2 linked regions of the Sus scrofa genome follow. The protein of the gene in region 1 purifies or fractionates together with the protein of each later gene. This does not show direct contact. Links are inferred from orthologs where the notes say so. Each region holds a gene or a part of one and is shown in the gene's direction. Other genes may lie near its edges.

The links.
Region 2: the proteins of CSK (region 1) and TNS3 purify together in Homo sapiens (affinity purification with mass spectrometry; 4 studies listed by BioGRID and IntAct, with this or other methods). This does not show direct contact. The link is inferred for Sus scrofa from reciprocal best matches to the Homo sapiens genes CSK and TNS3.

The regions. Positions count from the first base shown.
Region 1 is NC_010449.5:58,737,987-58,741,789, reverse strand, and holds part of CSK (c-src tyrosine kinase), read left to right. Parts: intron 1-222; 5' UTR 223-287; coding exon 288-302; intron 303-653; coding exon 654-767; intron 768-877; coding exon 878-990; intron 991-1,372; coding exon 1,373-1,592; intron 1,593-2,374; coding exon 2,375-2,468; intron 2,469-2,679; coding exon 2,680-2,745; intron 2,746-2,826; coding exon 2,827-2,926; intron 2,927-3,024; coding exon 3,025-3,115; intron 3,116-3,561; coding exon 3,562-3,635; intron 3,636-3,741; coding exon 3,742-3,803. UniProt on the Homo sapiens protein: Non-receptor tyrosine-protein kinase that plays an important role in the regulation of cell growth, differentiation, migration and immune response.
Region 2 is NC_010460.4:49,164,572-49,168,374, forward strand, and holds part of TNS3 (tensin-3), read left to right. Parts: intron 1-765; coding exon 766-1,403; intron 1,404-2,292; coding exon 2,293-2,379; intron 2,380-3,803. UniProt on the Homo sapiens protein: May act as a protein phosphatase and/or a lipid phosphatase. Involved in the dissociation of the integrin-tensin-actin complex. EGF activates TNS4 and down-regulates TNS3 which results in capping the tail of ITGB1.

The DNA.
Region 1 (3,803 bases):
CGTGGCTTCTGTCGGTCGGTCATTCTGTGGGCTGTAAGACTGCATCGGGCTCGGGGTTGGTGAACCTTTTTGTCCCTGGGTGGTCCTCAGCCTTCTACCTGCTGAGACTGGAGAGGACAGCCCTTGCCCTGAGTCCCAGCTTTGGGGAAAGAGCATCATCTCTGTGACTTGGAGGGACCCATCTCCTCTCACCCTCACCCCAATCGTCCCCTTTCCCCACAGCTCTCATGGTACCAAGTGATAGGTCGGCCTTCCTGTGACACGGGGACGCCAGATCTTCTGAGAAGATGTCGGCAATACAGGTACTGCAGGGATGGGGGGCTAGGCAGTTGCGTGTCCCCACCACCACCACGGGGGGGTGCTGAGAGGAGAGAGAGTGAGGGTTCAGGTCAGTTCCCTCCCCTTTTCCCCAGTCCTGGCTTTCAACACAATAGATTTCCAGGGCACACTGGTCGTGCAGGGTCCTAAAGATGTGAGCACAGGTCTGGGGCAGTGGAGAGATCTCAGCTGGAAGATGCCCGGAGCTCTCCGGGGGAAGGGCACCTCACCCAGGCTCCTGCAGGCCAGCCAAGAGGCTGTGATCTCGAGGGTGTGCGGGCAGGTGGGCCGGGGTTGCCCTGGGCTGCACTGCCCACCTGTCACCTGCCTTGCAGGCCGCCTGGCCATCCGGTACAGAATGCATTGCCAAGTACAACTTTCACGGCACTGCTGAGCAGGACCTTCCTTTCTGCAAAGGAGACGTGCTCACCATTGTGGCCGTCACCAAGGTAATCAGTGACCTCAGCTCCCCAAACTCCACGCCCACCTCTGGGTCCCAGCTGCCCTGCAGGGAAGGGTGGGTGAGCCTGAGAGCGTGTCTGGGCTCCTCCCCACCCAGGACCCCAACTGGTACAAAGCCAAGAACAAGGTGGGCCGTGAGGGCATCATCCCAGCCAACTACGTCCAAAAGCGGGAGGGCGTGAAGGCAGGCACCAAACTCAGCCTCATGCCGTGAGTACCTCCGAGGAGCGATGGTTGGGGGCCCCCAGGCTGGGGAGGAAAGAGGACCAGGAGCCCTGGTTTCCCCAGAAGAGAGTCAGGAGAACAGGGAGGTGAGAGCAAGGGGCTGGGATTCCGTGAGGGCTTCCGGCAACGAGGGGAAGGGCGTGGGTGCTGGACCTGGAAGGGGAGGATGGAGCCAGGAGGACTGAAGAAAGAAAGTCAGAGACAGAGGGTGAGGGCCCCAGGGCCTGACACCTGCAGAAGCGTGTGAAGAACCCGGAGGGAGAGGGCCTCCAGGAAGTGGAGCCTGGCAGATGCATGAGGAGGCTGGTGGGGGCACCGGGGACAGTGCCCGCGGGCCACCACGACCCCAGGCCTGGCCTTCCCATAGCTGGTTCCATGGCAAGATCACAAGGGAGCAGGCAGAGCGGCTCCTGTGCCCACCAGAGACAGGCCTGTTCCTGGTGCGGGAGAGCACCAACTACCCCGGGGACTACACGCTGTGCGTGAGCTGCGACGGCAAGGTGGAGCACTACCGCATCATGTACCACGCCAGCAAGCTCAGCATCGACGAGGAGGTGTACTTTGAGAACCTCATGCAGCTGGTGGAGGTGAGCAGACACAAGGGCTGGCCCAGGTTCCAGCTCCAGTCCCACTGCTTCTGACTGGTGGCCTGGGGCACGTCATGCAGCCTCTGTGAGCAACACCCTGATAGAGCACCTGCTGTGTTCCAGGGTTGATCTCTGACCCCACCACAGGGAGGTGGCACCCTGGTTCATAGGTCAGGAAACAAAGGTTCAGAGCAGTTAAAGAACCCACCTCTGGTCACATGGTTGTAAACTAGAGGTGCTGGGACTAGAATCTGAGTTTTCTGACCCCAGAATGAGCTTCCATCCAGTTCCTCATAGACTATATGCCAAGTGTGTGTGTGTAAGCACATACTCATGACCTTCACCTTGAAGGGCCACATGTCCCTGAATCTTCCAAGGCCATCTGTGCCCCAGGCAGCCTTCACATGCCTCCTGCACTCACTGGGCGCCTTCGCCTTTTCTCTGCTGGCCTGGCTTGACCTGCGACAGGGGGCACCTGGGCCCACTAGAGCCTGATATCTAGAGTGAGCCAGGGCTTGTCCTCTGCCTCAGGATACTGGTGAGGCCCCAGAGTGGTAGCAACAACCCCAGTATCCATTCAGCACCTCGGTGTGTGGTGACATGGGCCAGGTGTCTGGGGCCTCCCTCACCCCTGCTGGAAACGCAAAGCCCTCCAAACCCAAAGCAACTGCAGGGCTGGGTGGAACTGGCCTCTGCTTCCCCCTGGTGGTCAGACCAGGACAGGGCATGGCAGCCATTGGAGTTGCACAGGGGACCCTGAGCGCCTGCCCTGCCCTCTGCAGCACTACACCTCAGATGCAGATGGACTCTGTACCCGCCTCATCAAGCCAAAACTCATGGAGGGCACCGTGGCGGCCCAGGATGAGTTCTTTCGCAGTGAGTGCCACCCCTCCCCGAGACCTCACTGGCCCACCCACCCGCCTCCCACCCAGGCTTCCTGGCACTACTTCCATCCCAGAGGCTCTGGAGGCCTCCAGGGAACCCCTCACCCCACCCCGACCCGTCCTCCACTTTATGTCCAGTCTGCCTCTGCTGTGACCCCTTCTCTGGCTTCACCACCCCTCAACTGACCACCCCCTCCCCCCAGGTGGCTGGGCACTGAACATGAAGGACCTGAAGCTGCTGCAGACCATTGGGAAGGGGGAATTTGGAGGTGAGCCAGAAAGGGTGGGAGCCCTGAGAGGTGCCAGGGACTGTGCGGAATCCAGGGCCAACCCTTAACTCTCTTCTCCAGACGTGATGCTTGGCGACTACCGAGGGAACAAAGTCGCCGTCAAGTGCATTAAGAATGACGCCACTGCCCAGGCCTTCCTGGCTGAAGCCTCAGTTATGACGTGAGTTGGACTGGGGGTGAAGGGGTAGGGAGGTCGCCCCGGGGGCCAGGAGGTGATGGGGAGGCTCGGCAGGCTCTGACCACCCCATGTTGCCCCAGGCAACTTCGGCATAGCAACCTGGTACAGCTTCTGGGCGTGATCGTAGAGGAGAAAGGCGGGCTCTACATCGTCACAGAGTACATGGCCAAGGTGGGTGCCTTCCCTGGGACCCAGCCCCCATCCTGGAGCTGAACACGGGCTCGAGCTTTCCAGCTGCCCCAAGCCCCTCCCCCCACACACACACCCTTGGGCCCCTGCTCCTTCTCTCCAGCCGAGCTTTGAAGTCACCCAGGCTCAACTTGGCTCATCATTTTTTCACTATGACCTTAGACCAAGCCTCAGGTCCTCACCTGTGAACAGAGGCACTAGCAAAGTTTACCTCAGAGATTTATGAGAATTAAGAAATAATGCATGAAAATTGCTGAGCACAGCGTCTGCTATTCCTTCAGAAGTGATGTCCTGACCCTTCCCCTGTCCACCTCCTCTTCACACTGCCCACTGAGTGTCACCGGTTACCCAGCCCCAGGCCTACTGTTCCCAAGGTCTGGCGGGCAGGTTTGACTTATAGGGCCTGTTGGTCTGTCTGTCCACCCCAGGGGAGCCTGGTGGACTATCTGCGATCCCGGGGTCGGTCGGTGCTAGGCGGAGACTGCCTCCTCAAGTTCTCGCTGTGAGTGAAGCAGCCCCTGGGGGCGGGGCGGGGCGGGGCGGGGGTGGGGGAGCAGCCCTGCTCTGGAACCCCTGTCTGAGGGGACCTGTGGCTGGCTCTCTCCTAGAGATGTCTGCGAGGCTATGGAATACCTGGAAGGCAACAACTTCGTGCACCGGGACCTGGCTG
Region 2 (3,803 bases), on another chromosome or scaffold:
AGGGGACCATTGCAGATGCTCAGGGGAGGAGTCATCACTGAGTGTTTCACGTGTGGGCACATTGCTTTACAGTTGCCAGCCTTAATTCCCCCTCCTTTCTCTTTACAAAAAAAGCGGGACATCTCTCATCAGGGCTCGGCATCACCCACAGGCAGATACGTGTTTGCTCGTGGAATATATGTGTTAGCTGGCTTCCTATATTTCTAAATATGACGTAATTTCCAATATTCTTAATGGTGGAATTTCCAATTTCATAGCTTCTCACTGGCATCCGCAATCAGCGGGTTGTACCAGCAAGCCCTTGCTGAAAACTGTCAGGCACTGAGTTGGGCATCGAGGGAAGAGGAAGAAGGGGAGGCAGTTTCAGTAGACGTATGGTTGATGTGCACGTGGAGGCACGAGAGGGCGGGACACCGCTGGTCCCTGGGCACACGTGGCTCTGGGCTGGGAGGGCTTCAGAGGGACGCAGCCGAGCCTCATCCTGGGGAGAAGAGGCCACTTGGCCAGGTGAAGTGCGAGGAGGGCAGAGGCACAGCAGGCTGTGCAGGTGGGTCGGGCTGGTCCCCGAGGCTGTGCCTGAGCGTCTGGGGGTGAAAAGTCAAGTGGGAGGGTGGCAGGGCTTGGATTCTGATCTTGGGGGTACAGGCCACGCTCCAGGGGAGCCCCAGCACCAGCCTCCGGGTCCCCTTCTTCGCCCTGTGGGAACCTGGCTCATTCCCAGGCAGCCCCCTGGACTTCTTCTCTGGTGGTTTGTCTTTTGAACAGCCCTTCCTCGGCCGAGCACCAGTGGGTGGAGAGCAGCCCCAAGTCCACGCTGGCCCTGCTGGGGGGCAGCCGGCCTGCAGGGAGCCTCCTCGGCGCCAGCGAGTTCTCCGGGCCTGGCAAGGACGGCCCCGGGCGGCCCCCCTTCCCACCTGCCGAGCTCCAGACGTCCTTCCACGGCCACGAGCTGTCCCTGGTGGAGCCGCCCGAAGCCCTGGGCCCCCCGAGCAGCCAGGCCTTCCTGAGCTTCAGCACGGCCCCCTCGGGAGGTGGCCTCGCCCCCAGGGAGGATTCTGGGGCCTTGCTGGCCAATTCCCACGGGGCGTCCCCCGCCCCCGGCCCCCCGCGGACAGCAGCTGAGGCCACCGACAATGGCTTCCTGTCCCACAACTTTCTCACGGTGGCGCCTGGACACAGCGGCCACCACAGCCCGGTCCTGCAGGGCCCGGGGATGACCCTGCCCGGGCAGCCGCCCCTTCCCGAGAAGAAGCGGGCCTCGGAGGGAGACCGTTCCTTCGGCTCCGTCTCCCCGTCCTCCAGCGGCTTCTCCAGCCCTCACAGCGGGAGCACCATGAGCATCCCTTTCCCCAACGTCCTCCCGGACTTTTCCAAGGCTGCAGAGGCAGCAGCACCGTCCCCAGGTAGGTGCGTCTCCGCCGCGGGAGGCTCTCCTCCTGCACCCGGGAGGGAGGGCCCTGGCCTTCCGGCCCGGCTGCCCCGTGAGCTCAAGCGCCAGTGCTGGGCTGAGCACCTTGAAAGAAGAATCCGGAGCTTTCAAGGGGTCCTTTCCATCTCAGAGCATCTCTGCTCTTCTAGCCCAGAGCAAAGTACCAATCCAGAGCCGCTGCTTAATTCACCCTGGGCTCCTGTGTACAGTCTGCAGCAGAAAACGCAGACATCTGAGTGGTGGTTTTCCCCTTTCACTTGGGATCAGTGTTGTCTGAAAGTCACCTTAAACAAATTGAAAGAATATATTCGAGGTGTTCCCATCGTGGCTCAGCGGAAATGAATCTCACTAGCATCCATGAGGACCCAGGTTCGATCTCTGGCCTTGCTCAGTAGGTTAAGCATCGGGCACTGCCGTGAGCTGTGGGGTAGGTCGCAGACACAGCTCAGATCCGGCGTTGCTGTGGCTGTGGTGTAGGCTGGTGGCTATACCTCCAATTGGACCCCTAGCCCGGGAACCTCCATATGCCGCAGGTGTGGCCCTAAAAAAAAAAAAAAAAGAAAAAAGAATACATTTGGAATTCAATTATGCGATGTTTCCAGTGCAGAGGGAATAAGAGACAGTGACAGGAGTAAAACCACATCAGCTCTGCTCGCGTGCCCGCCGTCTCCGGCTACGGGTTGTTGGAGTGTCCTGCTGTCTTCGTGTTTTGCGTTGTAAAGCAGCCACGCCCTGTGCCCCGTGGTTACCGAGAGTGCTTCTCCCTTTAAGCAGGGGGCCTTTGCACTTCTAGGCCCCTCGAGGTGACAGGTTGCAGTAAGAAACGCCCTTCATGGTTCCTGGTTTTAAATTCTGTTTTGTAGATCATTCAGGTGACAAGCACGTGTCCGTGAACTTCGTCCAAGACACATCCAAGTTCTGGTACAAGGCGGATATCTCCAGAGAGCAAGGTGTGCCGGTGGGACGAGGGCTGGGCCACCCGGAGGCGGGAACAGGGTGGGCATGTTGGGGCCGCCCCCCCCCACCCAGACCCGAGGGGTTCCTGCGATGCCTGCGCTTCATGACCTGCCCTGGGGTGGGGGTGGGAGGGGGTGGGGAGGCTATAAGTTTTTACTGTAAAGGCTCGGTTCTGACAATGGAGTGGGTCATGGTTGTTCCATTGGGTGGGGTGTACCTTCTGGCGGCTTCCACCAGCCGAGGTCTGGCCAGTGTTGCCTGTAGGTTATAACAAGACGGCGTCACGGGCCCCCAGTGGCAGGGATGGGGGGATGGGGGAGGGAGAGGCGTTTCTCTAACGCATTGATGCCCCAGCCTGTGTCCACATCGGGAAGACAAGCACCCAAGGATTGGACCTGTTGTTGGTGGGCTTAGCCCAGTGTCTCACGTCCAGATCAGCAAAAATGAGAAATCATTAACGTTTTTGAGCAGCTAGGTCATATGTCACTTTTTACCAGAATGCAAAGGGGATAGGCGGCCCAGAGGGAGGCCGGCCAGCCGCTGGAGGGGTGGTCCCTCTGGGGGCAGCCAGCACTCACTCCAGCAGAATGCATGGGGTCTGTGAGAATGTGCTGGCCCTGCTCACGGGAGCCCCTGCCCTCCCTCGAGGCCACAGCAGGGCCGCCCTCAGGCTTATCCCTCCCAGAGGCTGGCGTGGGACTGGCGGGGAGGCTGGCAAACGCTGGCCAGGGTGCTCAGAAAGGAGGTGCCCCAGGGGCTCTGGCGGTGGGTGCAGCGCTGAGAAGCGGGTGGTGTGGCCTCAAGGGGCAAGACGAGTCGGCGTGCAGCCCACGCGGCCGCTCTGTGCCGCAGTCTCAGCTCGGGGGGGAACATCACAGCCACTCTCCTGGGAAGTATTGTGTCTCCAAAACGCCTGCACGCAAACAGTGAAGTGGCTGGGAACCAGCACGGTGCAACGTCCACCGACAGCCTTCTACTCAATTAAGCAGATTGGAAGAATGGCAAGAATGTGCCTTTCTTCCACTGAGCTCAATGGACCCACTGTCATTTCGAAGTGGGGGTGGGGGAGTCAGAGGCTGGGGGTGCTTCTGAGGCCCTGAATTGTCCTTTGTGCCTGGGCCGCTCACCACGTTTCAGGGCCCTGTTGTGGCCAAACGCTCCGTTCTCGTCCCCTCCCTGCTCTGGTCGCCAGAATCCGCATGATTGTGCCTCTTAGCTCCAGCGCCTTTGCACCTCACCCAACCCCACAGACTCTAAGAAGGGCTTGTTGAGGGCTCTGTTCTAGAATGTTCTGAGCGGGCCCGCCTACACTAGTGGCACAGCCTTTCAGAGCCGAGTGAGGGCTGTGCTGGGCTGCCCCCGTCTCTGAACAGCCAGGCTCCCGCTTCCAGGCTTGGTTGGAGTGCGCCAGGCGGTC